Oreochromis niloticus: one gene and its partners. The protein of the gene in region 2 interacts with the protein of the main gene of each other region in a biochemical or structural test. Links are inferred from orthologs where the notes say so. Each region holds a gene or a part of one and is shown on either strand. Other genes may lie near its edges.

The links.
Region 1: the proteins of chek2 (region 2) and ppp2r5a form a complex in vitro, tested with the Homo sapiens proteins (2 studies listed by BioGRID and IntAct, with this or other methods). The link is inferred for Oreochromis niloticus from reciprocal best matches to the Homo sapiens genes CHEK2 and PPP2R5A.
Region 3: of the proteins of chek2 (region 2) and atm, one has a biochemical effect on the other in vitro, tested with the Homo sapiens proteins (6 studies listed by BioGRID, with this or other methods). The link is inferred for Oreochromis niloticus from reciprocal best matches to the Homo sapiens genes CHEK2 and ATM.

The regions. Positions count from the first base shown.
Region 1 is NC_031980.2:13,641,411-13,652,272, forward strand, and holds the start of ppp2r5a (serine/threonine-protein phosphatase 2A 56 kDa regulatory subunit alpha isoform), read left to right. Parts: upstream 1-6,798; 5' UTR 6,799-6,914; intron 6,915-7,511; 5' UTR 7,512-7,700; coding exon 7,701-7,848; intron 7,849-10,862. Other genes in the region: dtl (denticleless protein homolog), read left to right, coding at 13-128, 222-295, 395-501, 593-697, 1,169-1,281, 1,403-1,492, 1,658-1,781, 1,962-2,620 and 1 more. UniProt on the Homo sapiens protein: The B regulatory subunit might modulate substrate selectivity and catalytic activity, and might also direct the localization of the catalytic enzyme to a particular subcellular compartment.
Region 2 is NC_031977.2:37,553,900-37,564,848, reverse strand, and holds the start of chek2 (serine/threonine-protein kinase Chk2), read right to left. Parts: upstream 4,668-10,949; 5' UTR 4,529-4,667; intron 3,156-4,528; 5' UTR 3,147-3,155; coding exon 2,894-3,146; intron 2,429-2,893; coding exon 2,304-2,428; intron 2,200-2,303; coding exon 2,067-2,199; intron 1,984-2,066; coding exon 1,893-1,983; intron 1,822-1,892; coding exon 1,725-1,821; intron 1,332-1,724; coding exon 1,278-1,331; intron 1,166-1,277; coding exon 1,101-1,165; intron 478-1,100; coding exon 378-477; intron 239-377; coding exon 152-238; intron 85-151; coding exon 1-84. Other genes in the region: entr1 (endosome-associated-trafficking regulator 1), read left to right, coding at 4,907-4,949, 5,023-5,174, 7,401-7,579, 7,677-7,818, 7,902-7,975, 8,053-8,164, 8,252-8,314, 8,392-8,531 and 1 more. UniProt on the Homo sapiens protein: Serine/threonine-protein kinase which is required for checkpoint-mediated cell cycle arrest, activation of DNA repair and apoptosis in response to the presence of DNA double-strand breaks.
Region 3 is NC_031979.2:14,485,241-14,496,135, reverse strand, and holds the start of atm (serine-protein kinase ATM), read right to left. Parts: upstream 4,369-10,895; 5' UTR 4,202-4,368; intron 3,988-4,201; 5' UTR 3,964-3,987; coding exon 3,892-3,963; intron 3,075-3,891; coding exon 2,956-3,074; intron 2,703-2,955; coding exon 2,557-2,702; intron 2,381-2,556; coding exon 2,216-2,380; intron 2,125-2,215; coding exon 1,959-2,124; intron 1,859-1,958; coding exon 1,620-1,858; intron 720-1,619; coding exon 550-719; intron 410-549; coding exon 231-409; intron 38-230; coding exon 1-37. Other genes in the region: protein NPAT, read left to right, coding at 4,821-4,857, 5,023-5,141, 5,238-5,298, 5,393-5,465, 5,663-5,703, 6,044-6,286, 6,461-6,536, 7,399-7,522 and 6 more.

The DNA of each region.
Region 1 (10,862 bases), on a different chromosome or scaffold from region 2:
TCTTTCCCTCAGATGGTTTCTACAGACAGGTGAACCAGATCAGCGGAGCTCACAACAAAGCAGAGACAAACCCTCCCTCTAAAACGAAGAAGAGACGGGGCGGCATGCGCGGCATGGCTCCGAGCGTGGTGAGTTTTCTCGACAATCAGCTGTTTAATGGAATGAAAAGAGCGATGCTGCAAATGGAAATCTAATCTTTAGCTACTGCATCTTATTTGCAGGACTCCCAGCAGAGTGTTACAGTGGTTTTGTTTAGGGATCAGCACACCCTCATCTCTTCAGGAGCTGTTGACGGGTAAGAAAAGAAAGGCTTCTTGTCACCTTTTACACATCTGTAAGAGTCTTTACCAGACATTCCCAGTCATTTTTTGTCTCCTTCAATTCCCCTTATCAGATTAATCAAGATGTGGGATTTGAGGAAGAACTACACTGCACACCGTCATGATCCTGTACCCCTGCAGACATATCCGTATCCAGGTTCTTGCACGCGGACGCGACTGGGTTAGTTCCCTAACATGCCGAGCATCACCTTTACCTGAAATGGTGCAAATAACCCACAAATAACCCAGCTGTCTTTTTGCACGTGCTGCAGGATATTCCGGACTCGCTCTGGACTCCTCGAGAGCCAACGTGATGTGTAACTGCACAGACGACAGCATCTATATGTTCAATGTCTGCGGAATAAAAACGACACCAGGTAAAGAAGCTCCTCACTCTGGCTCAACACTGTGTGGATATGCACTAGAATAGGTATTTTTTCTGGTCACCCATTCATCACTAGATGGCGCTAATGCACTTTGTTATAGGGAACAAAGCATCCAGCAGCAGAAGCCTCTTGATGCAAATAAAAGCCGTAGATGCTTTGTTTTCTAGTGTTACATGTTCAAGTCTGATCTGAAGTTCTGAATAGCAGTGGGTTAGGTGGTGTTTGACAGTTTGCAATACAGGAAGCCATTTCAAGATGCATCATGACAGTTTTTTAATGGAAACGAAAGAGGAAAGTGTCACTAAATGTACAGAAACTAGAGGAAAGTTCAGCATTTGTCTTTTTATTGTTATATACACAGTACTTTAGATTCTATTCTTTTATTTGATTGTCCTTAGGCTTGTTTGTTCTCTGATCTTCGTGAATATTTTGCCATTTTAAAGAATTATGTTTCATCCACAGTGGCAGTTTTCAGCGGTCACCAGAACTCCTCGTTTTATGTGAAGTCCAGCGTTAGCCCAGATGACCAGTTCTTGGCCAGCGGCTCAAGTGACAACCACACTTACATTTGGAAGGTGCGTTATTGGCTATATTTTACCTGACGTAATAAAAATTGCTTTATTTTTACTCTGGGTTTTTTTTGTTGTTGAGGAACTGTGAATTTAAGGTTTTTGAACATTTTTTGTTACAATGCAGATCTCCAATCCTGAACTTCCTCCCATGACGCTTCAAGGTCATAGTGAGGAAGTGACGTCTGTTGCATGGTGTCCAACAGATTTCACCAAGGTAAGACATAAGTGGTTATACAAGTATGAACACTGCTGTGAATTGGAGGAGTTTTAATGAGCCGAGAAGCACCTGAACCAGCTGCACTTTGCTGGAAGATGAGGGGCGCTCTGACTTTATTCGATTTAATGAGCTTCTGTATAAAGCCCTCTGCTCTGTTGGCAGATTGCTTCCTGTTCCGATGACCACACTGTGCGCATCTGGCGACTTCACCGAGAAAATGATGAAGTACAGTCATCATTAGGAGAGGCTAACCTAATAGGCCGTGCACGTCCTAAGATTCTCCCAAGTAAGTGCTTCACCTACAATGTATTCTTGTGAATAACTACCATACTGTCATAAAACCATAGAGGTTTCACTTACATTATGTGCATGTGAATTTGTGCATCATCATAAATCACTGCTGTCCTGCAATTAAATACAAAACATGATCACATCTGGACTCAAACTACTCTATTCTGCTACTAAGGGCCTTCCATTCCAGCTGAGACAACCCCTGCCAAGCCCCAGAGGAGAGTGAGCCTTGGTGGCATAGCCTCACCTCAGCCTGCAGCCTGTGCTCCCAGTGGAGCCGCCCTGCCCCTTTCTTCCAGCACCACTACACCCAACTGTTCACAGGACTCTAAAACTGCAGCTGTTCGCCACAGAACTCCACCCACTATCAAACAGTGGTTGTCCCCAAGCAGCAGATCTTCCGAACAGGTTGGCTCTCCAGCCCATCGGGTGCTGAGCCAGTCTCCCCAGAGCTCGGCAAGCAGCACGCCCCCCACAGAACGACGGGCCAAACGCAGGCTGGAAACCGGTGACGGTTCGTCTTCAAACTGTGAGGGCACTGAACAGTGCGACTGCGTTACTGAACTCTCCCCTGCAGCCAAGAGGAGCCGGACCCTCTCTGGTGTTTGCTGCCCAGCTCAGGAGAGCCCAGCACAAACAGACTGCCACACAGAGGACAACAATGCGGCTTCATCCAGACAGACCGACAAGGAGAACTGCTCTCCCAGAGGAGTGAACTGGCTGTCAGTGATGAGCCAGAAGCTGAGGAAAGGTCAAAGAAGCCCTAGAAGTCCCAAAGGTGCCAGAAGTCCCAGTGCTGCTAAGAAACAAGAAAGCAAGACACCAGCATCACCAGTAAGTATAAAACTCACAGGTTTGGGAGTGGATTAACATTCATCTTTTCTCATCTGAAATTATCCTCAGGTTTGGTGCTGTGATGCAAGGGTGGTGTTATATGTAGTTCAGTTATACTGAAACACAACTGGCAGCCGATGAGGTGGAGATTTTAAACTGCAGCTGCCCATCAGCCACCTACAGACGCTGCTTGTTTCCACCTTCTGCTACAGCTGCTGTAGATGGTGGAGTCAAAGCCAGATATGATGCCATTTCTTAAATGATTCAAGGAGCTTTTCAGTAAAATATTCTTTCAGGAAAAGGAACTCATATCAGCACAGACAGCAGGGGTGTCAAAAATAAGGTCCGGGGGCAAAAATCGGCCCAGCAAAGACTCCTGTCAGGCATCACCGAAAGGCTTTAAAAAGTGAATGAGTGCATGGATTTTAAACTCTTATCTGTATTTTCATAGGTTTTAAAGCTTTTCCTATTGATAAAGAGCTCCCCTGTAGCAATTAGTACTAAATCAAAGTAGTTAAGTAATAGAAAAACAATTGAACACCTGTTTTTTTTAAAAATATGTTTATTCCATAGAAAAACGGCAACGCAATGGTCATTTTTCTTAGTCTTAAAGACAGGGATTAAATATTTAGTTAAATGTCTTTCACTGGTCAAGCCCATCAAAGTGGGCTGTATGTAGCACACGATGTAAAATGAGTTTGATATTCCTTACATACTGTAGGCATTGGCACTGATATGTCTGGGTGATTATATTTTTATTACATGTTGTATCCATGCATGTTGTTTTAGCTTTTAAGATGATCCTTTGTTTTTTTTCATTTATGTTTTCCAGAATGTGTGCACCCCTCCAGCCATGAAGAAAATCTCCATGTATTTTACAAAAAGGCCGCTGGATTGACCTGGTTGTACCAAACTTGGTGCTTTTCTTTAAGAGGGTTTTATTCAAGGTGGTTTTTTTAGTGGGACCCAAAAACTATAAGCCTGTCAAGATTACTGAGATCAGAAGAGATCAGTCACTGAACATTTGATGGTGTGGATTTGACATCCAGGGACTGCTTTCCATTTTATTTAAATATGTTCTTTTTTTGGGGGTCTTTTTTTTTTTTTGCCTCCTACAGAATTTTCTTGTGTTGTGCAGAATTTCTGGCTGGCGACTAAAGTTACAAATATGACTACTTCTAGAGATGCTTCAGCATTAAATTGGAGAGTCCACATTTAAAAGGCTGATTAGATTTTAAAAAGTTGATCCTCAAGTGCAGAGAAAAGCATTCGTTCACAGAACAATTTAAAATCTCATTTAAAAATAATCAAGTTACTTGGTTCATATTGTTAAACCTTTTTATGAACCGCACTGTAAGCTGCTCACAGATCAGCTCTATAACATTTGTAAGCCAGCCATCTAAGTCACGTGTTTTCCGTGTATGAGTTTGCTCATTCATGTCGGAGTTGCACACGTGGTTTGCAATATATTTTTTCCTTACTGAGCAAATTTTTTGACTTGTTTATATGTACAGAAGAACCAATGAATGATGCTTGATTTATTTGTATTTAATTGATAAATCTAGCTGTAGTCAAATGTTATTAAACAGTTTTCTGTCTGTGTGCGTATTTGTGTGTATGTGAGGGACAGAGAGGGTCTGATGGGGGAGTGGTGAGAGTTTTAGTCGAGGTAATTAAAAGAGAAAATCTAAAGACCGAAAAACATTCAAACCTAAAAAATTAAATCTCTATCATCTCACACTTTTCTTTAGTTCCCTGCAGATTCGTGTGATTAGTAGTGATTTGTGAGATTAGTGGTTTACAGCTATTTTGTTTAATTTGGACATTCTTCTGCCCCAGAGAGGCAGAAGGTTTTTTTTTAACATGTATGTGTGATAGTAACTTATTATAGCAGCTGTGGTAAAACAGCAGCTGTGCTAAAGGCTTTCAGCGAAGTGACTTCCTCTGATTATAAATGCAGCTGCTTGTCAAAGTTGATTTTAAACAAACTGTATACAGTTTATGATTTTTATATATCGATGCATCAGTGAGCAATAAGCATGTTGAACTGAAGAGTACAAAAACCCAACATAAAAAAAAATAGGTGAGAGAATGATGGTAAGTTATTAAACTTTAAAAAGATGGTATACTGGTATTTGATGGTAGTTAAATAAATTTCAGTCTCTCAGATCACTTTAGAGGAATTTTTGCACGCTCTTCTTAACTGTGTCACTTCAGTTCATCGAGGTTTGTGGGCAAAGTTTATGCACAGCATTTCAGTCATATTGAGGTCTAGACTTTGACTGGGCCATTGCAACACATTGATTCATTTTTTTTCCAGCCATTGCTGTAGATATGGTGCTGTGCTCCTGTTACATATCACAATTTTGGCAAAACTTTAGTTGTCAGACAGATGGCTTCACACTCGACTCTATAATACTTTGGTTTACAAAGGAGTTTGTGGTTGACCCGATGACTTCAAGGTGCCCAGGTCCTGTGGTTGCAAAATAAGCCCAAATCACCCCCCCATTCCAGAATCGTCACTGATAGTTGGTAGGAGATGTTTGTCCTGATATGGTGTGTTTGCTTCTCTCAAAACATGATGCTGTGCATTATGGACAAACCTCTCCACTTTGGTCTTGTCCATCCAGAAGACATTTTCCAAAAGGCTTGAAGTTTGTTCAGATGTAATTTTGTAACCCTAAGCTCTGCTACTATGTTTTCTCCTGGTATGGTAGCACTAATTGTACTGATATGAACTTTAACATTTAGCATGCTTACTGAGACCTGAGATGTAGCTATAGGTGATTTGTAGTTTTGCTGAGCATTGCAGAGTCTGACCTTGGGGTGACTTTGCTGGAACGTCCACTCCTGGGAAGATGTTGGCATTTCTAAATGTTTCAAACCAGCAAACTGCCCAAACCTCTGCTTTTATTGAGATGCTCACACTTGCTGATTATTAGTTTATGAAGTGCAATTGATTGGTAGCACTTGACCACTACTTACCCTCTTAATTCCTGTGGAAACAGTGAGGGACTCCCTAGACTCCTGTTAAAAAATTTTTTTAAAACAATGTTTTGGATCCTTTTTTTTTCTAATGAAAAACTTGTTAACACTTACTGTTCCATTTCCATTATAATAGCAAATACATTTTCAAGTTAATAGATTTACATTTGTAAATTTGGAATTTGAAGAGGAATAAGGTTGTATCCATAGGGGGGAAGAAAATGGTAAAATCTACTACAAGATTAATATAAATAGATTTAAAAAAAAAAAGAAAAAGATAAATGACAATAATTAACATTGAGGATGTTAATTATTAACATCTTTATACAATCCATATTTAGAATTAGGCCAAAGGTTTCAGGACTTAGATCTATGGCACTCTTTTTAATAATTTAGGATATTTAGAATACATTCTTCTAGATTTCTTCTATGTTACTTTTGATGTAAGTGTAGTGATAAAAATAAAACTTTCTTGTCTCTATTACAGACAAAGTAAATGTACTAAAATAGAAACCTAATTTCCTGTGGAAAGGCCCTTATTTTAGGGTTTATACCTGTATTTTATAAACACACACAGCATGTAATGAGGAATGCATCGGGTTAGGGCGTGATACAGGCAGGGCCAAAGAGTGGTGTGAATTCCTAAATAATACAGTTTTCCAGGGTGGAATGACTGGACAGCATACGTCTTTAATGACTTTAAAAAACAAGAACAGGGTGCACAAGTTTGAATTTATTTTGGATTTTCTCTCTGGGGTTATGAGTGTACATACAGGCTCAAATATACACTTAAATCTTTTAATAAGTTTTCGGTGGGAGAAACGTTTCGTCACTCATCCAAGTGACTTCTTCAGTTATTTGTTATCGGAGTTTTTCCAAATGCAATATCTCAGGATCTCTTTTTTTTAATCCTAAAACAATCTGTGGCTTAAAAACTGAAACTATAAGTGGGATAATTCTTTAAAAAGCGCAAAGAAACACGCGGTGACAAATTGAACTCTTATTATATTATCTTATTATTATTTTCAATGTATTGCTACGAGACGTGTCTCAGTTTTTGTTCAACACCACTGCCTGTACAGCATCACCTATTTGTTTTCACATGTCACATGTTCAAGTCCCGCTTTCTGCGCGGCTTGATTGGTTTAAAAAGTTCCAGTTTTTTGAAATTTTCGCCTCTGATTGGCTGTTAGCAGCGTCAATCAGTGACGTACCCCTGTCAGCGCTCCGCAGTCAAGCTCACAGACACACAGTGACGGAGCGGCTGCACTGGGAGTGTTTACGGCTGCCTGCCTCAGCTCGACATCCAGTAATTTGCTGTTTTTGACAATACTCGGTCTTTATCGAGGTCGTGCTAGCGAAACAGTCTCACGCGATTCACTCGGAAGTGTGACGAAGGGTGAAATTTCTCTTAGGTGGATGAGGCTAACTTTCAAGCGCTAAATGAGTCGACGAGCGAAATTTAACTTCATCGATCGCGGATAGTTTTTTTCTCTCAAAAACACACTCAGCAGAATTCTGTCTAGGATTAAACCAGTGCTCGGAGACGCGGAATTTGTGTTTTAACGAAGAGCTGCAAAAAATTAACGGGGCAACTTTCTTTCGTAACTTTTTCCCCCCTCAGCAGCGGTGCAAATTGTTGTAACCGTCAGCTAATTTTTAGCAGGCTAGCTAACTGTCAGCTTAGGTCTACTGTAGACAGCTTCAATCCGGCAATGCATCTCTTATGTTTTGCAACAGGTAGACGTTTTTCGATCACAATGCAGCAGTAAAAAATGTCAGAAATTTAGGAGCTTATTCTTGTCGTGTTGGTCGCTCCGTGCTGTGTAGTGCGGGCGGTGTCGTGTGACTAAATTCGGCTTTTTTCGTATTTTGAAGACTGTCCCCCCTCCTCTGTATTTCATAGAGCAAGATAATGATGCAGTCTTTGGGCACAGCTTAACCTCCGTACCGACCGACCATGTTGGATCATACAAAAATAACACAAGCCTTCTGATGTGAAAAGGGGAAGGAAGCTTTTCGTATGACCTAGGAGATACAGTGCAAAAAAGTGTCAAGGTAGTTTTTTTTTTTTTTTTTAATTTTATGCATCAAAATGTCGGCCATCTCCGCATCAGAGAAAGTGGATGGGTTTACGAGGAAGTCCATGAGGAAGGCACAGAAGCAGAGAAAATCCCAGGGCTCCTCTCAGTATCGCACTCACACCGCTCCGGTCGAGCTCTCCCCGCTGCCGCAGCTCAAAGGTAAGAGGATGAAGGGGTCCGCCGCTTAAAATAGTCTGCCTGTCATGACCGCTGTGTGTGTGTGTGTACACTGTCGGATCCACTGCAGGTACACTGTGCATGCAGCCAGAAATGCATTGCACATTTTAAAGCTGGTCTGTATGCAGAAACCTGCCAAAAAAATGAAGCACATCTATTAACACTTGCAAGCAGCTTGTAAGAGTTGACCACAGGGTGTTTGAAAAGGCTCTGTGCCAAAGTGTGTTAAATTGGTTTTGTATTCTTGGAGAGTTTTGTCAATAGTTGTATTAACATCTCTTGATCCATTGTTTTGTTTTGTTTTGTTTTTGTGCTTGCTGGATGTTGTGTAATGACAAATGCACATCTCCAGAGCCATGTTGTCCGAGTGGCTAAGAAGGATTTATGTATTTGCGTCAAGGTGTTTTGAAGGATCAGTGTCTCCACACCTGATGCACTGATTGTAAAATTGAATTTGGCTTTGATATAAGTTTTGATTTGTCATGTTTTTAGTGTTTATTCCTTGTCTTGTACACACACACAAATAGCTGCCTTTTTTTTTTTTTAAGTCCAGCCAGTACAGCTCTTCATCACTCTACCATTTTATTTTATTTTTTGGCAAGCACTGTCTGTGTAGGGCCTCAGTCAACCAGACCATGATAGTCTTGAGGGTTTGAAAAAGAAGGCATCTGGACTTCTTTAGGTTTGTGAAGAGGTTTCGGCTTTCATCCAAGAAGCTTCTTCAGTTCTAAAACAACTGGTGGAGAGTCCTGGGTAATTAACCCCTAGTGGGGGACTGTCCCCTTTGGAGGTGATTCTGAGCGTCATGTTGACTCACATGATCAATAGTGGGTCAATAACCCTTTTGTCCTCACAAACCTAAAGAAGTCCAGTTACCTTCATGCATTGCATTTTCAAGCTTGTAGGCAGCTGGTTCAGAATGGGCCTTTGATGGGTAAGCGTTTGTCTTGCCTGACTTAACAGAATTTTATGTTTTTTCCCTGTTATCTCTGCCCATTTAATAAACAAATATAATTATTTAAAATATCTGTTTATAAGTTTTCAAATTCTTAAAAATATTAAAAAGAATAATACCGGAAGCTTACTAACAGACTAAATTAACATTGTTACTTTGTGTTGCAGGGGTTCATAGTGCAGTATGATAATTTATAAAAACGATAAAGATTCAATTTTTCAATCAAGCTGATGACCGGTAGCCAGACTTTCTAAAGGAGACCTGCTTTGTTTGACATGGGTGTAGCACATTTTCTAATTCCTTCAGCCACCCAAACTGGAAAGTTGGATGTATCTCAGACTTTTAAGATTGTAGCACAATTTTTCTTGCTAACATTGTCTATAAAGCCTGAGCTTCATAACGACACTTCACACTATTCGAGTCAACCACCCCAAACAATGCTGTAAGAGGGGCAAAAGGAAGCACTCTGTTAAAAGCCTTGATAAGTAACTCAAATATGTGACCCCCAAAAAATCTGTAATCTGTTAGACTGCACAAACTGATGAGATGGATTTCGTTGCTCAATTGGACATTTCACACACAGCGGTGAAGTGCTTTTGAATAATTTATGTAATCTGGTTGGAGAGAAGTGTAGTCTGTGGTAAGTTTTGAATTGTGTCTGTGCCATTTATAGAGAGAGCATGAATATTTCCCAAGGATTTTTAAGGTAAATACCATCTTATTTGATATACCAATTGGTAAGCAAGGATGTTCCTGGCCCATACGGATAATGAGTTGATATATCTGTGCAACCCAACAAAAAAGTGACAGCAGTTTGGCACTACAGACGGTGTGGTTGTTAGTAAATATTTTAGTTTTGATTATGAAATCAATAAGTTGAAATTTACTTTAGAAAATTAAGAATCAACTCCCCCCACAACCAGTGATTCTGTCACCCAAAGGACACAGAAAGGGAATCTGGATTAACACCTGAAAAGTTGTAAGACCCAACTTATCTGTCAGCAATATTGTGTTTGTCAAAGTCAGACCAGCTATGTGGCATAGGGCTAGGTGCAGCTCTGCTTCAGACACACACAGCTATCAGTGCAAGGAGACAAGTGAATGATTTAGCGTAGCTTAATGAGTGGACGTAAGTGGGTGGATATTGGCTGAACAAGTAAAGGTAAATGTTAGTGAGCCATAACAGTTGTCTGATGGCACCAACTCTTCCAGGCTGTTTTGTGTGTAAATAACAGTTAACAGAAACTAATTATACTGTATATGTGAGCTTAATGGTTGCAGCTTGTATCTAAAAGCTCCCCTGTGATTAGACCTGATGAGGGGAAACGCATATTTGAGTGGTTTTATTATGCATGTTTTAAAATTAATATTGGAGCATAGTTTTTGGACAGCTTTGACACCGCTAAGCCATAAAATGTTTGCTTCTGTTGACTCCTGTATGTTGATAATGGCACAGGCTGTTAATAGAGAAGACAACTTTGTGAAAGCTGAAGAAAGACACTGTAATCTTTTTTTTCTTTTCACACTGAGAAGTTTACATAGTGAGCTATTGTAAAGGGATTTCTAGTCCAAATATACTGTAATAAAACTCTTTTGCTAGAGGCAGAATTGCTTCAATACTTAACAAATAAGGATGAGGCAGGGAGTCCCATACACACTCCCATACTTTACTGAACCAATCTCGATATTTAAAGCTCAGTGCTGCAGTTTGTCTCCTGTGATGCTTCACAAGGCTGAAAGGACCAGAGAAAACAAGAACCACCTGTTACATGCTATGACGTTTGTTTTGTACTTGTCTCATTCTCATGTCAGTGACAGCCAGTAAGCACAGCCTCTGACTGCGCAGGAGATAATGCAAGACAGCAAAATGTGATCATCAAGCGAAATGTGACACTGCTTGGTTGAAACACGGGAGGCTGGTATAAAACCTCCTCGAGTCTGTTGTCTGCGTGTTTTAGGTGGAGACGGGCATGTGGGGTGGAGGCCTGGTTGTGTTTGTTATGTTATATGCCTGCCAGTTGTATCACTATACTTGTGTAGA
Region 2 (10,949 bases):
CGGAGCCAGGTAAGATGGAGTCCCACACAGAGTCCTCATCAGCACCGCTTCCTCCAGGATCCGAGACTGGTTAAAGTCCGTCACCTGACGCACACACAGTCAGTGAGGAGGTGGAGGTGGAGGTGGTGATGCTGCAGGTGAGCGCACGTACCTTGATGAGACACACGTCGTCCTGTGAGGACAGCAGGATGTTCTCCGGCTTCAGGTCTCTGTGGATGATCCCGTTACTGTGGAGATACTACACACACACACACACACACACACACACACACACACAGAGTTACAGTCGCTGCACCTGTGTGTGTGTGTGTGTGTGTGTGTGTGTGTGTGTGTGTGTGTGTGTGTGTGCGCTCTTTACCATAGCAACACCAGCTCACCTGCACAGCACGAAGCATCTGGTAAAAATAAAGTTTGGCAACAGATTCGTTGAGCTGCTGCTTCGACTTCACTCTGTGGAACAGCTCCCCCCCCTCCATCCTGACAGGTGAGACAGACAGGTGAGAGAGAGACACAGGTGAGACAGGTGAGAGAGTGAGGCTACGTCCACACTATCATTTTCAGTCGTTTTCAGAGTTGTGCGTCCACATTGAAACCGCCAAAAACACTTACATTCTGCGCATGTGTGAAACGCAAGACGATTCGGCCTGCCTCATTTCTGTCTGCCGTTTATTTACTTTCCGGCTCTTTGAAACGTCTCTTTGAAAAGCACCGAGTTTTTAAATGGACTAACAATGAGGTGGAGTTGTTGCTGCGAGTAACACAAAAGTACAAAGTTGCAAAAGCGAGTGAGAGTTAAAGAATCTGAAGAAAAGCTGTCTGGAGCATGTACAGACTGATATTAATCTTTGATAGGGCTGCTGTGTAATGCCCTCTGCTAGCTTTGTTTAATTGGTCACATGACTGCATCACATGACTAAAATGTGTCACAGTTTTGGAAAAGCACCGTTTTCAAATGGCGTCGTTTTCCTTGAGCGAAAACGCCGTCTCAGCGTGGACGGGAGGCCAAAACGGAAAGAAAAAGATGCGTTTTCAAACAAAAACGTATTAGTGTGGACGTAGCCTGAGAGACAGGTGAGAGAGACAGGTGGAGTTTAACGCACAGCTCCAACACGATGTAGAAACTTTCCTCCGTCTGATAGAAGTCCTCCGTCTTTATGAGACAAGGCTGCAGGAGACAAGGAGTGAAGAGAAGGAAAGGAAGGATGAGTGTTGTTACTGGCGATAAAGGAGCGTTCCTGTACTTGCGCTTTTTCTTCTTCTTCGTTGGTGTTACTCACGTGGTCGACCCTCTGCAGGATCTCGATCTCCGTCTTTGCATTTCGTGTCGCTGTCTGTGATTGGACAGAAAAATAAGTCACATGATCACCATTGGTTGCTCCCCTTCAACTCTCAAAATAAGGTTGAGATGCCATGTTTGTAGTTCTCTGGGAGGTATCTGTGTTTTCACACCTTGCTGACATGTCATTGGGTTAAACTGAGTTAAATTCAATACCTGATTGGCTGGCACCGGAAATATTTAAATTAAGCAGTGTACTGACAGTTTACCGCCCCCCTGTGGTGATTTCATGCAGTGCACTGTTAGTTTGACAGAGAGGGGCGTCTGCATTTTTGACACTATTAAAATTCATAAATGAACTGACACAATCACACCTGCTGACAAACACGCAGTCGAAAGAAACGAGCAGCGGGTCTCAGCCAATCAGAGAGCAGATGACGCGACTCACCCCTTCAGACTGAAAGTTCTTCTTGTTTATGATTTTCACTGCAAACTTCCTGCAGGTGGATCGCTCGAAAGCCAGCCGGACCTCGCCACACACTCCTCTGAAACACACACAGTCAGCAGGGTGGTACCGGCACAGGAAATGACATCACAACGCCACGAAACAACTCACATGCCAATGCGTCGGGTCAGTAAGTATTTCTCTTGTAGGTCTCTGGGTAAGCTGGACTGATCGTCCGACATCAGGTCGATGAAGACAAACACTGCAGAGAGACAGGAGCAGGAGGTGAGACCGGCGCCAGGGTGTCCAGGTGTTTTCAGGTGCTGCTCTGGTGGGCGGAATCACCTCGGTTTCGTTGTTCAGCCAGAGAGATGACGGCGTTATTGACCAGAGGAAGCTTCTTGTCTTTCCCGATCGGAATCCCATCGAGAAAAGTGCCATTATTACTGAGGTCCTCCACGAAGACCTCCGAGCCCTCCTGACACACACAGGTGGAGAGGGCGACGTTAAAGCCCCGTGAGCGCAGTACTCACAGTACGATCAGTGCTAATATCAGTGGTAGTAGTACTGCAGTAGTCTCACTCTGTAGATCCTGAAGTGTTTCTTGCTGTAGATTCTAAACTTTCTGGAATTTCGGTCATTTGGATCCTCCAGGACGTAGTTACACCTGGAGTCCCGTCCAAACAGGTACTGGTCCTCTATGCAGTCTGTAAACAAACAAACAAACAAACAAACAGGAAGTGCTCCTCTATGCAGTCTTCTCGGCAACCCACCCCCCACCCCCCACCCAGTGGAATTACAAAACCTGCAATTCCGGGATTTTATTTGGATGCTAATTAGCAGCAGCAGCTAGCTCATCCTCTGGTCACTCCATGCTCGAAAAAGGAAGAGGAGTTGAAAAACCAGGATGCCATGTCCATCTTTTATCTACAGTCTAAAGATCAGTCACACCTGAAGCACTGTCTGCTGAACAGAAGTATCCTGATTACTTCATGTGTTGTTTAAAGTATGGAACAGGGGAGCTCGGCTGGCTGATAATGCTAATTCTGCTGCTAATTCTAGTAATTACTAATTCCAGACACAGCACAATATGTTCAGTTTAGTGGAATCTGATTAAGAACAGAGTGAATGGAGAACTAGCCAGCGCGTCGGCGTGTTGTGAGCAGCGGTACCGTGGCTCCTGAAGCCTGGGACCATGGGCAGTAGGCGGCCCCAGGGTTGCGGCTCGGGCTCCTCTGGGACGGACGCGAGCGTTACGGGGATGGTGTCCACGCTGCTCAGAGTCCCCGAGCCACTTGACGACTGACTGGCTGAGGTGGGCCCACTGGATGAACTGGAACCAGGCTGGGACTGGGACTGGGACTTGGCCTGGGACGGGGACAGAGTGGACTGGGTTTGGGACTGAGGTGGCCCCTCTTCAGACATCCTTCAGCTCTGCAGACACATGAGAGACAAAATCAAGAACAAGAGAAGAAGAGTTTGGGTTTCTGCCACAGGTAGTGATGGGTCCTGCAACACTGACGCACCGACACATGTATCAAGCTCACCTAGCGAAGCCTGTATCGGTGCGTGAGTCGCTTTAAGAAAAAGTCACGTGATCGATACAGCTGCTGTATTGCTCATTGCCAACGCGCCAAACTGTGTTTAAAAAGTACCGCATCCGCGTCTGTCAACGGAACGAGACGCCACAAAAAAAAAACAAAAAAACCCCCACAAAATTACTCTCGCAAAGATTAAAAAAACAAAAAACAAAACACATCTCTCCATAACAAAATGGAGCCCGAAAGAAAAAGAAATGTTTCTGCTGTGTGGGATCATTTTGATCTTTTAACCGCAAATAAGGTAATAGTTTGTCTGTCTTTGTTTCAGTGTAATCTATCCTCAGTGTTTAGGCATTACAGAGCCAAACATGAAAATGAGGAGACAAACACACTGAGAATGAACACAGGTCAGCCTATATTGACACTGAACAGCTTTATCATCATTTTTTTTTATTAATATGTGTTTTATTATTTTGAAATCAAGCATCTAGGAAGACTGTTCTGGACCAGACAGTCCTGAATTTTATTATAAAGGACTTCCAACCCCTTAGTATTGTGGAGAGTGTCGGACAGAAACATTCCAAGATCAGAGGATCCTTTAACGTACTGGGGGAATAGGAAGACATCTTATCAGAACCTTTTCCACCTGGCTTTACAGTTTTTGTACCCCAGCTTCATCTGTGCCTGTGAGTTTTCCAAAGCTGGGGAAATGGGGTCAAAAAAACGCAATAGACTGAATGTCAAAGGAGTTTGCAAAGAAATAGACTGAATGCAAAAACACTGAATAAACTTATTTTTCTGAATAGAATTTTATAATAAACTCTGACTCAAATTTATTATTACATTCACAATACTTTCATTTTAATTTTCACTTAGTGTCATTCACAACATATTTTAAAGATGTCTACAATATTTGAAACGTAAAAGATATAAAATGATTCCATGGAAAGTACAATACCTTACAGTGTACAAGTATGACTAGGTCATTGAATCAGTGTCTGTTGTGAGTCTCAAGTAAGTTCCCTGCAATGATATTTACGGTCCAGCAGGTGTCAGTATGGAGCAAAACAGCAACACTGTGTCGACACAGTATCAATACAGTTTGGGGAATGTGCTGAAACGCTTCACGAGGCCTCATCTACCCATCACTAGCCACAGGATCTTGGACATCCGTGGGCTCGTCGTGGCCCCAGAGCACACAGTGCAACATCCCCACGCCCCACTGTGGCAGCAAACACAGACCGCGTGTCCGAGACTCCCACTCACCGTGAAACCGGAACCCCGCCGGTGCTGTCAGTCTCCGCGCGCCTTCTTCTCTGCACTCAGCCGAGCCAGAACCAGCATCCGGGTCTCTGCGCGTCCACGAACCGCATCCACGAACCGCGACACGTGGTTCGATTTCTTGACCGGGACCCTGCGGGACACGCGCTTCCTTGTGGCCTATTTTTTTCTCTGACGTCAGGAAGTAGTTCCAGCCAATGATAAGTCGGAATGTGGATCACGTGCACCGGGAGCCGTCAGCTGGTGTTTCCGGGTTTGGTTTGGTCCGGCAGAGAGGATTCAGAGGCTGATCGATAGTTATGATCGATACGTGAACGGAAGCCAGGGGGCGGAGCGAGCCACGTGTCTGTCTGCGAGTCCGACATGTCTAAACAAAGAGGCAGCAAGACTCTGATCATCACAGACGGTGAGTGTCGGGGGGGAGGTCTGCAGTCTCCATGTGAGCCTCCGTCACAGCTCCAGCTGTTCTGTGTGTGCAGATGAGGAGGTGGAGGAGGTGAAGGAGGAGGCAGAGGAGCTCAACCCGTTCTCCTTCAGAGAGTTTCTGCGCTGGAAGAGCCAGGACCCGGACCCGGAGCAGGCACGCACTGAGGTCAGAGCTGCACAGCTGGAGGTGCACCTCTGTCCTCCGGTAAAGCAGTGAGCACAAACACAGAGCAGGTCTGTGCTCACAGCTGTGACATGCGTGTACATGTGCATATTTAAAAGAGTGACACAAACTTCAAACTGCTGTGCTGTGGCGGTCATGGATGTGATCGCTGTGGGCCGAGCGTGTAATCGACTCACAGCTCAGACTCTGGCTCTGTCCTCAAACCGTCCATCGGTCCCACGCTGAGTGTTCAGCCCACTTCATGCTGCTGAGTAACTGTTCTCATGAAACAGCAGAGATGACCTGAGATCAGCTGCTGTTTCTCAAAATCTGCAGAAAACAGTGACTCCATCACAAACACACGCGTGTCACAGCTGTGAGCACAGACCCACTCTGAGCATCTGCAGTGACACAACACGTGTTTGTGCTCTGTGACGTCATCTGACCCTACCTGCTCCTCCTCCTCTGAACGACCTCCACAAACCAATGAGGTTATAGCACGGCATGGAGTCAGATGTGCGTTTTGTAGTCCAGCTTCTGCTTGTTGTAGTTTCAACACTTTGGGGATCCGGCGTCACGCTGTTAAGCAGACACAAGTGTGAGGTCGTTCCAATTCTCAGCATACCACTTTTCTCTTTTCCTGAGTCCTCACCGGGGTCAAGGAAAAGAGGTTAGGGGATAGGAGACGCTTTGGAACGCCCTGTGGCTGTGTCCACATTCAGGGGTTGCATCCTTGGAAGGACCTACACGGTCTACGTAGGGCGGGTCCTTCCAAGGTCACGAACACCAGAAGTACAGACCTGTTAAAGTGGACAAGCAGTTCCTGTTGCCTAGCAACTGCGACAGTAGCAGCTAGAGCCGTGGCCTTGCCTTGATGCACGCTCAGTCATCCAGGTTAGGAAATCCCAAAAAGCTGGTTGTGTTCATCTGGACGTTTTCAGTGGGAGTTTCATCATCATCAGCTGACTCCTTCAGTGTCAGCTGACTGCAGGTTCCAACCTTATAAACAGGACATCTGCATAACGACTGACACAGCAGAATGGCCCACTCTAACCCACTGATGAGTCCCACTCACAGAGGGTTGGGGAATGGCTGTAGAATGGTGACACATGTTCCCTTAGGCCCCTCCTCCATGCTTCGACATCAACAACCCACTGACAGGTGTCAGTATTTCCACGGCTGCACAGTTTAAAACAGCGTTTCTGTTGCTGCCACAGTGTAACCTGAAGTGTCCATGAAAAGGACCAATCACACCGGGAGCCCGTGCTTCTTTAGGCTCTGCCTACCCACGATAGCATGAAACTGTAGCAGTGCGTTGGTTATGGAATATAATTCCGTACATTTCAGTTCAAATTGAATCCCTGCGACTGTCTCGAAGACAAATATAAATAAACTGCAGCCACAGTCTGAAAGTCACATTTAAACATGTGATCCTTTGTATGTTTCACATAACATGAACATGAACTGATACATGGATATTTATTTATTGGAGAGAAAACTGTGCAACAAACAATATTTGAACTAAATACACTGTGGACCAATCAGAGCTGTGTGTAGTTCCCTGTATTCTGTCTGTCCTGCAGGATAAACATCAGCGAGCGCGTCCCTGCATGCAGCTGGTACAGTTTGTGTTGGACATGCTTCTGCAAATACACGAAGCAAATATCTAGAAACTGTTTCAGTGTTTCCACCGACTGTAGAGATCATCCTCTGCATGTCTCAGCTGCTGCTGCCTCCTCCTCCTCCTCACACGATGTCCCGGTGTATCATCAGGGGTGGAGAGCCTCTGTGCCGTCTCCTCTCTCCTGACTCTGGACTCAACCGTGGCCGTTAACAACAAAGGCAGAAAACTTGATCAAATATCTGTTAACAGATGAAACACACACAGTTTTCTCCTCTAAGCACACGGTCTGTCTGTCTTATCAGTAGTAGCTTATACAGGATGAGAACTTCAGTGCAGCATGGTTGAGTCTGTGTCCTCAGCACAGTCCATGGGCCAGATGTTTGGTCCCCGTAAATACACTTGGCTTACAGCCTGAACGTCTGCTCACTGTAAACGTTGACGTACGTTTGGCTTCACAGCGACAAACCGACCAAAGCTCGTACGACCCGAGCCATGTTAGATATCGCTAACGTCAAGTAACTTAGCTGAAGGTTAGCTGAGTTTAACGTGTTTTCACATTCTTCATTATGCTAACATTCGTCCGTTTCTGGACCGCTTCCCTTTGACCGTCCGCCATTTTTTCCAAAACATTTTTTCAACCTCAGATTCGCAGTGAATCTTGGGATAGCGTGGACCACGAAGGATACACCCGACCCGCCGCACACAGCCTCTGTCTGTCTCATCAGGAGGAGGAGGAGGAGGAGTGGGGGCGGAGCTTCCAGTCAGGCGTTGACAGCACCTCCTCCCTGTGCACAGAGGAGGAAGAAGAAGAGGAGGAGACCAGGTGAGTCTGATGAAGTGCGGGGCGTAAAGACCTCCGAGCAGCTTCTGTGCAGATGAAACTCCACCTGCCGTGAGGTCACCTTCACCTGTGTCACCAGGTTCTCCTCCAAACCTGAAGAAGCTGCAGGCAGAGGTGCAGGAGGAGGAGGAGAGAACTATGAAGGAGATGATGAGACCTCAATGGCTGAGTCAGCCACCTCCTGCAGGAGGAGGAGTACCAGGAGCAGCCAGACGCAACAGGTAACCCAACCACGGAGCGCTTAGTTCAGGGAGCGTGGGACAAAGCAGAACAGGGGTGTTAACAAGCTCCTGTTCTGTCTCAGCTGAAGGAGGAGAACGCAGCGCTGAGGAGGACCGTCAGGGAGCTGCAGAGGAGAGCAGAAGTGAATGAACGCAGGTTTGTACCAACCAATCACAGGACAGAGCCGCCATGTCGCTGACCAATCATTTACCCAGCATGCCCCTGTCTCCCAGGGCGTCGCAGCTCTCGGAGGAGCTGCTGCAGAGGAGGCGTCAGGAGGAGAAGGAGGCCCAGGACCTGGAGAGCATGGTTCACTCTGTGGAGCAGAACCTCCACCTGATGACGGTACACACACACAAACACACACACACAGTGTTTGCATGAACAGGTGTGTGATTGTGTGTAAAAATGCTCTACGTCTGTCCGTGTTAGAGGCGAGCGGTGAAAGCGGAGAATGCCGTTTCCAAACTGAAGGCGGAGCTACAGCAGCTGCAGGTGAGATGGAGAATGAATCATCGATTATCGATAATCTGCTGGCTGTGTGTATCAGCGTGTGTGTGTGTGTGTTTGAGGCCGAGGTTGATTCTCTGCGGGCTGAGAACAGCGGTCTGAAGTCGGCGGAGTCTCAGGTCGTCATGACGATGAGGCAAAATGCTCAGGTGGCATCCGATTACCTGAACAAGATGGCAAGCCACGCCCACTCCTCCATCCGGTCAGTACCTGCAGACACACACAGCCATCAGCCACAACACCAAGCTGTTAATGCTGCTGCTCTCTCTCTCTCACCTGTCTCCCGCCCACCTGTCTCCCTCTTACCTGTGTCTCTCTCTCACTTGTCTCTGTCTCACCTGTCTCTCACCCACCTGTGTCTGTCTCACCCGTCTCTGCAGGCAGCTGCTGGGGGAAGCAGAGACTCTGCGTTTGGTGTCTCAGCTGCTGCAGTCCATCGATAAAATCTCCTCCCTGAACTCAGAGTCCTGAACTCCTTCGGACCTCCTGGTTGTCATGGAAACATCCAGGAGAGGTCTGTCTGTGAGATCAGAGGTCAGCAGGTATTTTATTTTGGAAGGCCCCAGCTGTGCTGACTGCTGATTGGTGGACTCTGTGACTGTGTGAGGGCTGAGCATCATGTTGATTCATAAATTCTGTGATAATAAAGAGCTCTGATGATCGGAGGTGTGCACCACGAAGATGGCTTTTTGGCTAATCCGGGTGACTTCAGGGTTAATGTCAGTTTTCTGAAGGTGGCTGGCCAATCAGCAGCCTTGAACGTAGCGTCACCATTCCTGGAGGATCCCTCGGGCCGCCACGGGGAGAGCGGGAGGGTCTGGAGGCTTCATGCGATGAGCTTCAGTAATCTTTTTTTTTTTCCTGTCGGCACCAAGTTCAAGTTTATTTATATAGCACTTTTAAAACAACATCTGTTGACAAAAGTAGTCAAAGCAGAAAACATAAAATAGGATAAAACAAATTTGAAGCGGTTTCATTGTTTTGTAAACATTCATGTATTCCTGCTGAGCTCATATCAGGTTTAAAAAAATGGTAAATGGCCTGTATTTGTATAGCACTTTACTGGTCCCTAAGGACCCCAAAGCGCTTTACACAACCAGTCATCCACACATTCACACACACATTCACACACTGTGAATGTGTGGTTTGTACTGTTTCCGTTTTTATGTTTGAATCTCTACTCTCGGACCACAAACAGCAGCTGAGACAATAAAAGCTGAAGCTGTCAGGAATGTGCGTGTATTAATGTGCTGCTCGATTGTGATCCGCTGCTGGAAACACCGAATGCACACCTGAAACACCCTTCATCAAGCGCTGGAACAGGAAGCTGTCATGTTTCCATGGATCCGGTTTAATGTTTCAGAGCTTTGATAATTATCTGTGGGAGAAAAGCCACATGATCTGTGACATGCTCCTTTGTGATTGGTCAGACGCTGCAGACGCCACCTCCCCAATGCGCAGATCAAACCCTGGGTTATCTTAGCGAGTTGTAACCGGCTTTATCCTGTTTGCCAGTGTTAGTGTAACATAAGGTAAAGATACCATCTTATAGGTCCCAGCTCTACGGGGGCGTGTCAGAGTGTTTACCTGGATAAATAAGGATGTATGCGTGATTTTTTCCAAAAGCTGATTGCAGCTTCTACCTCGTATAAAACAGGGAAACATCCTCACTGCCAGTGCAGAACTGCAGCTTCCTTATTTGTTGCGTGTCATCGAGAAAAACACGACTGGCTAAAGTGACAACCAGGAAACAAGAACAAGTATATAAGAGAAACCATGATGTCTGATACAGTCGATCAGACGGATCATTACCCACATATACAAAACTATGATACGCAATATAAAACAGGTGACTGGGTGTGTGTCTGTCTGTGTGTGCCCTGTGGTAGACCCGTCCAGGGTGTACCCTGCATCCACAGGCCTGTGGCGTGTCCAGCGGGGTGGCCTGGGGGGCACAGGCCCCCCCCCCCAACCAGACTGGCCACCCCAGGTGCCACCCCGAAGCCAAAACAATAAAATCCAATGAAATATCAAATGTACGATTATGTTTTCACAGTGAAGCTCAGATATCCGAGTGTAAGTGAATGCAGCATCGGCTTCTGCGCTACGAGCATCATGTTAGCAAAGGTAGGAGAGCCAAGCACGAAAGACAGCATCACAGAAAACAGTTTTTCGGCGAAAGATTAACAGTTTAACATAGCTGGACTGGCCATCGAGCATGGCGGAGCTTCCACGGCGGCTAGCAGGTGGATGAGGGAAGGGTAGGCAGGAGGAGGAGAGACCCGAGGCGGCTGCTGGTCCGAGTGTCAGGTGAACTGAACTTCAGGTAAGAAGTATGACCTGCAGTCTATCTGGGTCAGATATAAACCAAGTTTAGGTGGAGTTTATTTTCCTTGTGCTGACTTTTTACAGTCAGTTACAATAACTCTTACTGTGTACTAGCTAGCATGACAGAGTTTCTATACAGCTGGGTGGGTGCTGTGATGTTACTGATGGTGAACTTTATTTTATTCATAAGGTTAGTTAGTAGAGTTGCCAACGGCTCCTTAAAAAATGAAATGCTCCCTCATTCAGAGAAAATATTACAGGTTTTGTATTGAGCTGAGAAGAGACGCAGTTT
Region 3 (10,895 bases), on a different chromosome or scaffold from region 2:
TGGGTACTTAGAGGTGAGCGCTGTGGTGATTTGCAGCCTGAGAGGGAAAATAAAAGACGGGAATGTCTTTATGTGATGCTGATTGCACAGCAGTCCTTTGTGTCTCAAGGCAGAATTGATGCCCCATAAAATAAAAAGCAATATCGCTGATTTATAAGTCACTCTACCCAGTAATTGTCTTTATTTAACTTGAAAATGTGTTTATATTATTTGTGCTGTGATTATCATACCACGGTATGACATCAAAGTCACTGTGCTGAGGCTGCAGATGCTCACGGAGGACCTCCCAGCCCATTTCGATACGCCGGCGCTTGCTGGCAGCTCCGTGGGTGAGACTGCCCATCTGTGTGGCTCTGATGGAGGCCTGGGTGACCTCCACGATGTGGGTATCACTGTCATCATTAAACAGCTACAGCAAAAAAAACATACGCGCGTTTAAAGGATTAAATTTGTCCAGACAAACTCCTCTAATGAGCTTCCTCACCGCACTTTTGAGCGAAGCTGAACCTTGATGCACTCGGTGCATACGTGACGTTCGATCTTTCTTACCTGGTGACAGATGTCAGCCGTGAGCTCAATGAGATTGTCTTTGACGGCTATGTGTCTGGTCCCTGTGACGTACTTCCCTCTGCTGCCTATGTGACCGATCTCCCTGACCAACGCGTTGTAGAGGTTGTACAGCAGACTCCGCCACTTGGACCAGTCCTCAGCATGCGCACCTGCAGTATGAGTGAGCGCAGCCACCAGTTATTGGTTATTTATTTAAGGATATTCAAATATTTATGCTCATGACGTTTAAATAACTACTGCCAACAAATGAAAGCAAACCTTGAGTTCAGCCACAGGTTTGCAAAAGCTTATATTTTTGATGTTTTCGCCAGTGAAATTTGAAAGATTGGTGCACTGCGATTAAATTTAAATTAAAGTTTTTTACTTGCTTACTGGTTTCTATCTAACATTCACACACACTCACACACCAATGAATGCATTAGTCTGGAATGCATCGGGAACAACCCGAGATTCAGTATCTTGCCCAAAAAGAAGGTTGGAAGCAGGAGCAGACAGGGATCGAACAACCAACCTTCCAGTCCGCTCTACCTCCTTAGCCACAGCCCCCCAAATACAAACTGAGCATCAGAATGAGGAAGAAAGCTGATTTAATTACTTTGAATGTACCATGCTTGTTGTTGCAAGACATGCTGGTCTGAGTGTTTCAGAAACTGCTGATCTGCTGGGATTTTCCTACATAACCATGTCTGCAGTTTACAGAAAATGATCCAAAAAAGAGGAAATGTCCAGCGAGCGACAGTTTTCTAAGCGAAAATGCTTTTGTGATGTCAAAGATTAAAGGAGAAAGGTTATATTGTTCTAAGAGATAGGAAACTCAAATATGCCCTTCTTAAAACAAAGTGGTTGGATGGTCTTCATCAAGGTGAAGAAGAGCATCTCAAAATGTGCAAGACGTCAAACCTTAAAGCAGATGGGCTACAGCAGCAGAAGACGAACCAGAAAGGAAGGTGTACCTAACAAAGGGTTTGTGAGTGTAGCCTGGCCTCCGACCACTATTAACCACAAACACTGGAAATCAACATTTAAAATTAAGTTTCTAAAAGAAGAACCTGTGTCCTGTGTCTTGGCTCCTTTGGGGTGGTGGACACAAATCTGTAGGTTGAAGAACTCCACAATCTCCTCTTTGAGAGCTGGACTGGGCCTCATGTCTGCCCAGACGTACAGTATGGAAGGCAGAAGCTCCTCTCCCAGTCGACACAGCCTCATCCTACAATTCATGGCTGCAGATCTCAAGAAGATGTTCAGAGCTGAGACAAGGTGCTCCAAAACAGCCAAGTGTTTCTCCTGCCTGATACGATTGATACGAAGAATGCATAGTGTTTAAATTTAGCGACTAATACCGGAACATTTATTCAACGCAAATCTAAAACGGTGTTAAAAGTTTTCACCTGACATTAAGCAGTGCTTTGGAGAAAAAGCTGAACAGCGTGTCATTGAATCCATCGGTCTGCATGCAGCAGCCCTGCACCACCGTGTGGATCACTCTGCTCACCAAAACGCGGTTGATGGGTCTGGACGAGGAGTTGAACAAACCACAGTACAAGTCCAAAAGATCTAAGGATCAAGAATAAACACAGATCCATCAATTCTTACTTTTGTCTGCTTCCTCATGTTTATAAAATAAAACTCCAAATAGCCCACTGACTATGCCACTGTTGTGGAGCGATGTCACACCAGTACTTGCGGACAGAGAGGATGTCCTTTACAAGGAGGCTGCTATAATCTTCTCCATAGGCTGAACAGCAGTACGAACTCTGCAGAACCTCCAGCACATGTTTCAGCAGCTCACTGCACTTCAGACGAGGCCCGCCTGGAGGAAGAAGAGGACACTCTTAACTGCAGTCCCCACAGTTCATTCAATATTTTTTCTACTGTGTCTGATGAATTAATGAAAGATACTTATAAATATAAAGATACATGAATGTTCCCTAATTTATTACGACATACATTCACCCAAAACATATTGCAACCTGCTCCTGCTCTTACGTTTGTTAGCACAGCGAATGAAGTATTTGATCAGGCTGCATATTTCAGCCATCTTCTTCTGCCGCGTGGCCAGCGTGGTTGCCGTGACGTTGGATTTGCTTGATTGCATGCTTTCCGTCTCCTTTTGGACATAGCGCTGCAGAAACCTGATGCAAGAAATGCCAAGCAGAATAAAGAGCATTCATTTATAGAAGCCACTTGTTCCGGTACATGGGCTAACTTTAGCTAAAATCATTTATGAGTTACGAGCATGTTGCAGAATATGAAATAAGAGCAAATACTTATTTAAGAACTTTTCAAAAGATGCAAAAAGGTAGAAAATAGTCCCTTCTCTGGAAACACCTTATAGATATATACATTTTGTATTTATATGGTTGCAAATACTCTGATGCAGGTTACCTGAAAACAGCATCCCATGTGAGTTGCTTGGAAGCTTTTGCTTTAGCTGATGAGTTACGATCGAGTTCTTGCACAATCTCTGGAGATCGAAGGAGCCGTCTGAAGTGCTCAGCTTCTTTCTGATAATAATTACGAGATGAAATAAAAAGCATTTACAACGCATTGATTAAAAAAACATTAAAATCAATTCAGGTTTATTTAATTATGGACAATTCCCCACAAAATTCACTTCAAAGCTCTTTATACTGTAAGTTAAAGACCCAACGGTATTGGAGAAAACCCCAACAATCAAGCGACCCAATACGAGCAGGCACTTAGCGAGGGTGGGATGAAAACCCCCCATTTTAACAGGAAGAACCAGGATTTGAAATTCTGTTCAATAAATACGCATAATGTGTCACAACTGAGAACTTGTGGGGCTATACAGACCATTAACATACCAAGATGACTGGCAGATCCTATTTTGTTTTTGTTGCTACTCGTGCCAGGAAAGTAAATAAACCTTTATTTAGAAAAATTACTGATTTTAGAGTCTTTCAGCTATTCATCGCACTGCCTTTGTACACTTATAAAGTGCAAAATTGATGTGGTGCAAGCCACAGGCAAATTGCATCTTATTTGCAAGTGGGCAGGACAGATGCTGATGCTCAGCAGATGTATAAGCGATGCAATCTGAGCTTCTGACTGAGTTCAATATTTTACAGTAAGAAGAGCCCTGATTTGAAGGTAGTAACTAAAAGAAGTGAATTAAAGGATAACTGTGGTTGTTACTGGTGTTGGGCTGCTTTGCCATGATAACTGGACAACAGTGTTAGTTATCCTCTGTTATTTTAAAATAAGCTAAATAGGGAGTTGTTTAACCTATTTAAAGTACATTGAATCGCCTATGAATTCATTTATTTGGACAACTGATAGGCAGTAGTTCGTCTTTTTCACCTTCCTCTCTGTAGCTTTGTCATTCTCGAGTGCTCTGCAGCAGGCCAGGAGATCATGAAGAGCCAGGCTCATTGTGCCTCACCGTGGATGTACACACTGGAGGGACAGGATGTTGACAAAAGTTGTTACTCATCCGCTTTATACCTACACTATTATTACTTAGTAGACATTGTAGATTTCTACCATTCGACCCACACTTTATTCACTGCTTCACTGCTCATGCAAACTACTTTAGCAACACGAAACTGGCAGATTAAGCTTTTAACTTCATTCACAAATGTCCATTCAAACACCTGCGCTGTTCACTGACCTCAGATGACTGCAGTGATTGCAGTTGCGGAGTTGTCACACTTGCAGGTGCAGATGTTAGCTGAGTTAAGGCACACCGCTACTGTACCTGCCATGACAACTTTGCCATCTTGTAGAGCCACACGCACGCACGCACACGTAACCCACGCATAAAATATTCCCGCCCCAGCAGCAAGGCTCAACTGCTCACATCACTTCCTTCTTATGCCTGGTATTGAGTGAGTCCATTCACTTTTCTATCAGCATGAAAATAAACCTAATGTTTTTAATAGGTATTGTGTTATTGAAGTGGTATACGACATGCTGAAGTCACGTTCAACCTATAAATTACAGTATATATATGTAAGACACTATAGAACGTTATCCAGATTGACTTTTTCTATTTGGACTACAACTACCACAATTCTAATCGATAGCTTGGTCTTGGTACTTCCGGGTTATACGTGCTTGAGTTCCCCGCCTTTTGAGTATAGAAGCAGTATTGTGAAGACGTCGCCTTCACAATAATATCACTGACGTGGTTTCATTTCAGACAGTTTTTCGAGCTTCTCGGAGACTTTTCCTGAACATGGAGTTACCTTTTCACATTTGAGGCCGCTTTTACCAACAAGTAGTCGGTCATGTTGCTACCGTCTGACGTCGCTCGGCTTGTTTTGGGTAAGTCTGGTCGTCCATAGCAGACGAGTAGCTGTGGGGTTAGCCAGCAATGACAGTCGAGTGTAAATGGGTAGCTTTAGTCTCACAGCCTTAACGGTTGATTGGGCTGCAGTTGGAGGGTAACTGTTACTGCTGACTAAGGTGCTACTAATGTCCTTCCGCTAGGGTACCTCCAAGAAGAGGGGCTGTCAGCTACAAGCCAAGCTTTCATTCATGAGAGCCCCAACCTGAAAGAGTATGCCGAGCACACCACAGGAGATGGGACTATTCCTGCTTGCGTTTTTGTAAGTGTGCCTTCCTCCCTCTTGTAAGCCGCCTCCACAGCCTGAACTGTCATGATGGCAGCTGACTGCATTTCTGTTTAATCTTTCCTCACACAGTCCATCTTTGGGAAGAGCCTGACGACCATTTTAAATGAGTATGTAGCTGCTAAAACAAAAGGTAAGCCATCCAGAGGATGTCTTTAGTATTTTATAACCGATTATTGTTCATATGTCATGGTTTTGTTGCTGATGATTACTCATATTTTCAACAGAGTCTTGTCATGAGGTTCCCGTCGTGATGACTTCATTGTGGAAAAAGCTGGATTTTACACTCAACCAGATTAAGTAATGAGCTTCACTAATAATTGTGTGATAGCATAGGATGCATTGGGCTGATTTTGAAAAATGATTTCATATCGTTTTCTATTGTTGATTGGTATGTTGTTGTGAGACGAATCATAAACATCTGCTGCTGTGTTTCTCAATGCTAAAACTTGGTGCAGTGAATTAATATGTGAATATTTTTCTGCATCTTTCCTTAGGTCATTGCAGAATTCCCCTGCTATATCAGCATGTCAGAGAAGTAAGTTTGTCAGGTTGTTTGTTGTTATGTAATGGGCTAATACGTGGTGATGTAGCCGAAAGCATCAGGTTTAATGCATTGATGCATTTATGTAGAAATATACCTATAACGTAGGAACAGAAACTGTTTGAAAAGGGACTTCCCTAATCATGAGCTTATTGTGATTATAGTTGCCTGTTCCTAAAACCTCAGGAACTGGCATGTTACCCAATTAACTTCTGAATTGTCTATACATCAAATTGGGAAATTGGCACCATGATTACTTACAGTTGTCAAACAGTGCCTCAGCGTTCAGGTTTTATATGTAACCTATTTACTTATCAGCTTCTGTGTGTTGCAGCACGTTCACGTGTTGGATTGGCAAACATGGCTAGACAGCGGGTCCTTGCCGTGGCTTCTGCGGGTGGTGTTGTCTGTTCATCGGTTTCTGAGACGAGCACCATCATCAGCCCAGCGCACACCTCCCACAGCATGCTTGCCCACTCCACCCCAGTGTGCTACAGTGGTCTGAACAGCAGACCAGCATCTGGCAGTGGCACAAGCCAGCATATTCATGACAGCAGCCGATTAATGACTACACCCAGTCAGTAATATAACACACAACTGAGTACAAATGCTAAAGTAAAGTGATGCTAAGATCACAGCTTTTTAAGGAGATAGCAACGCTCTATGAGCTCATTATTCATTTAATGCACACATACTAACTAAGTATTAAATGTAGTTTTTAATAATAAATATTCAAACTTGTTCATTACAGGGGATTCACCCGTGCAGATCATTGTTTCAGAGCATCGGCTAAATCCAGGCCCAATGTCTCCTGGTCGAAGGAAATGGTAAGAATAGTTGTTAATGCTTTACTATAGGTGTTATTACATAAACATCTGTCCAGAGTGCTAAAGACAGACTAATCTAAAGTGGATGGAAAAATTAGCTTTCATTGTACACAAATTGTGCATGGACCTTGCTGTTACAATGACTTTACAGTACCACTGAGTAAACCTTTCGCATTGCAGAAAATGTGACTAATGATTGCAGAAACAACAAACATGTACTTGGTGTGTTGCATAATCCAGAATGTTAATGATTCAGTAGCTTTTCTTGCTAAGGATTCGTCAAACTTCACAGGGTGTTTACCGTAAAATGAGAGTTGTGATCCTGAGCACAAAAAAAATACATCAGTTGGGGATTGTGTTGATTCAGTTCTGACCAATCTAGAAGGAGTAGTGATCCTTCTGAACTGTGGATGGAGAGGACATCAGATGCCATGTCATAAACTAATCGGTCCTTTGGCTGGTTGAGCTAAAAAAAAATGCTGATTGTAGTGAATTTCACATGACATTAATCAGTCACAAGACTGTGTCACTGTTTATCTAAATGACTCAATATCAGTATGTTGTTCCTTAATGTGTGTACACACTGGAAGCAGTCCGCAGTGATATAGCCATCAGAGACCATAGAAAGTGATATTTGGCGACTTCAAGGGACTGCGACGAAAAGAACATGCTTTTGATGCAAAGTGGGCAGGACCGCCGATAACCATGTGTACTCAACCTGGAATGTTGTCTGTGCTGGGTCACCCCAACTTGATTGATTAATTAGATCTTCAGCATGTGATATTTCTGTTTAACAGTGACTTTATTGTGCTGTTATTGTTATTCCCATGGTTTGTTTAAAATGTTTTTCTGTTGTCTTCAGGGACACCCCCAGGAAGAGAAGTGGTGCTCTGAGTGGCTCCAGTGCCCCTGGCAGATCTGCTACACCTGCTGGCAGCAGCAGTGCAGAACCCCAACCTGAAGAGGTTGTTGATGAAAACTTCCCTGTAAGTATGTCAGTAATGCTAGGTTTCCTAATCACAGAGACAAGTTAAAGACTACACTTCAATCACATATTAACAAATCCACTGACATTGTTGTTTAAAACCTTGTTGATCTGCTGAATGGTCATATATCACTATGTGTCTCTAGATACAAAGAAAAATTACTTTATTGCATCAGAAATGACATACTCTCTGTTTCATCTCACTCTTTACAGCAGCTTGTGATACAAAACGCACGTGACAAGATACTGGGTGACAGGTCATTACAAGAGAAGCTTGCTGAAAACATCAACAAAATCCTTGCAAAGTAATTAACGCAACAGGACTCTTCATTTTGTGTGCACTTGGATGTATTGTGCACAGTTTTTGATAATGACTGTGCTGTTTCCTACTCTGTTTCATCACTACTATCAGTGAGCCAGTGCCCCAAACATCAAAGGGTTCTTCAAGTACAGTGGAGACAGACCAGTCTATAGATGAAATACTAGGATTACAGGTGATTTATTTTTCTTTTTTCCTAAAATTTAGCTTGTAGTGTTTTCACTTTTTCTGTGTAATTTACCAGTATTCACTCACGTATACAGGGGGAAATTCATATGAGTGACGACGCCATCCATGACATTTTGGAGCAAACTGAGTCCGACCCAGCTTTTCAGGCTCTCTTTGACCTCTTTGACTGCAGTAACTATGACCTCATTTACTTTAATGTCTTTTCCTTTAAATAATGGTTCGCAACTGTCTGTAACAGTTTAACTAAAGAACTATTGTAAGACTTTTTATAAATTTATGTTTGCAGATAAAACTAAATTCACAGATGGAGAAGCAGGAGATGGCGATACGAGCAGTAGTCCAGAAGAGACCGATACTGCTGGACCTACATCTGCAATCAGACTCCTTCAAAATATTGATACAGGTAGTCTGTCATAATCTAAACGTTGAAAAGGCAGCATAAATGCCTACAGGAAGTCTGGAAGGGGCTTAAAGGTGTAAGGCTTAAGCTTCTTGAGCTTCTAACAGTTGGTAAACTGTGTAAAACAAAGTCAAAAATTGAAAAGTACGTATAATTATTCCTAATTTAAGAACTGAAATGAACTGGAGGAAAATACTAGCCATGACAAAGAGGTGGAGTGCACTTTCAGACAATCTCTCCTGCAAGACGTTCATGGTGTTGTTGAGAATGGTGGGGAAAAAGAGAGTGGTTGTCAGCTGGTTACAGGAACAGCCCTGCCACTTGGACTTCATAAAACCTGGAAACATCAATAATGAAATTATAGTAAAAATCCAAAAGTTTTTCCAAGTTTAAATAACTTTCTATGAGAGGTCGAGCATTTTATCATTTCTGCTAACAATGGAGACAAATGAATAGTTGAACTCTGTTTCTATTTTCAGGTGCCACACACAGTGATTCACCTGCTTCAGATACAACACCAATGACGGTGAAGACGAAACCTGGGCAAGAGCGAAAGACAAGAAAGTCCGCTCCTCCAACACTGTTAAAGAAAACAGTTCTTGGTCCCAATGGCAGATCATCCAGGATTGAAAACAGTTCAGCCAGACTGATAGTGAGTCAAGGGGATCCCCGAGGTGTCTCAAGTGCTCCAACAAACTCAAACAGAAAAGAAAAAGATCCAATTTTCACTAACACTGTCAATGAAACACCAATGGATATTGATGAACCACTGAATACACCTCCCCCTCCTCCTTTGGACAGTTTGGCCACTCAGGAGCCTCCCACAAAGGACAGCACTTCTGTCTCACCTGTCTTTGGTGAATCTTCCACAGTCCCCTCGCCAGTGGACTCTGGTGCTTTTCTTGAGCCAGAGGAAACATTGGCCTCAAATATGAACAACCAACAAGAACCTAAACAATCACAAGAGTTTAAAGATCAACCTGGTGCAGCTGGAGCATCATCTTTGCCTCCCGAACAAGTTCAGCTGAACATCACTCCAGCGCCCGCCGCTGACCTACCTCAAATATTAGTCTCAAACAGTGGAGGAGATACTCTACCAGTGTCTACTTTCTCAGTAATATCAAAATCTGTCTTAAAAACATCCTCTTCTACAGATGCTACAGCTTCAGCAGCCTCACCCTCATCTGCTTTTATTGCTGCCCCATCTACTGCAACACCTGCCGCACCAACGTGTGCTTCTACCACTGCGAGTCCAAGAGCTGCACATGCCTCATTCACAGCTGCCTCACCCGCATCCTCGTCCTCCTCCTGTGCCCCCGTTGCCCCTCCTCCTGCAGCTTCAGTTGCAACAACAGCTGATCTGTTAACCACAAGCATCCAAAACACAGCTGCAACAGACTCCAGTAATGTCATGTCTTTGAAAATAATCATAAGTGATAACCAAGATGAAGGTTCTTCCAGTGACACAGCCTTAAACCAGGCAATTTCCAGCATTTCTGGAGACAAGATTCCCACCATTTACGTTTCCTCCCCAGCTAAGTCGGTAGGATGCCCTGAAACTCCAAAGGCCAACATGGATGAGGTGGCACAGGCAGTTAGTGGATTACAAAGGTCTGAGGCATTTGCTAGTCCTCTGAGCAGCAAGGCTGGAGCAGTAACTGCATCTCCACTAACTGGGACGTCACAGGCCCAGCAGAGCTATATAATTCAACTACCCCTGGATGCCACTAACCCTGCCATCCAAGGAGCCAGCTATTTCCTTGTAACAGAGCCCCAATCTACCGAAGCTGAAGGCAGACAGGTGGTGCTGCCTGCTGGTGTCTCAAACAGACAGCCTTTGCCCACAAATCAATATGCAGTGACAACACCAACTCGCTCTACAAGTTACTCCACTGGTAAGAGACAGAAGGCTGCAAAACTGACATAATTTTCCACATTATTGCACTGATTACAGTCCAAAATATTGAAAGTAAAGTTTTTCTGGCAGAAAATTGCAGGGACATTGTGGTTAAGCATAGTTTTTGTTTGCTTGTTTGTTTGTTTGCTTGTTTGGTTTTGAGTTATTAATGGCAACAAGGCATGTCCCCATGTTTAATCCTTTTCCTTCACTTTCAGTAACTTTCTCAGTATCATAATTATCAGACAATGACATCTGTGCTCCTGTTTGAAGGGTCAGCACTCGTCCTGCCATCACCCGTGAAGCCCATGATGCTTCCTGTTTCTGTTGTAGGACCGAATCCTGTGGGGAAAGTGCAGATGGTGTCCAATCAAGTAAGATCATTTTATTGTTAGTCGGAGCATGTGGTTTGCGGTTAAAAGCATTTCCTTTCTTATCATTTTAACCAGAATGATGGAGTGAGAAAAGCTTTATTTGTTTATTTATTTTTTGAGACACTTTCAGACCAAATTGGCCACTAAGTAGGGATGGGTATCGTTTAGGTTTTATCCGATACCAGTACCAAACCG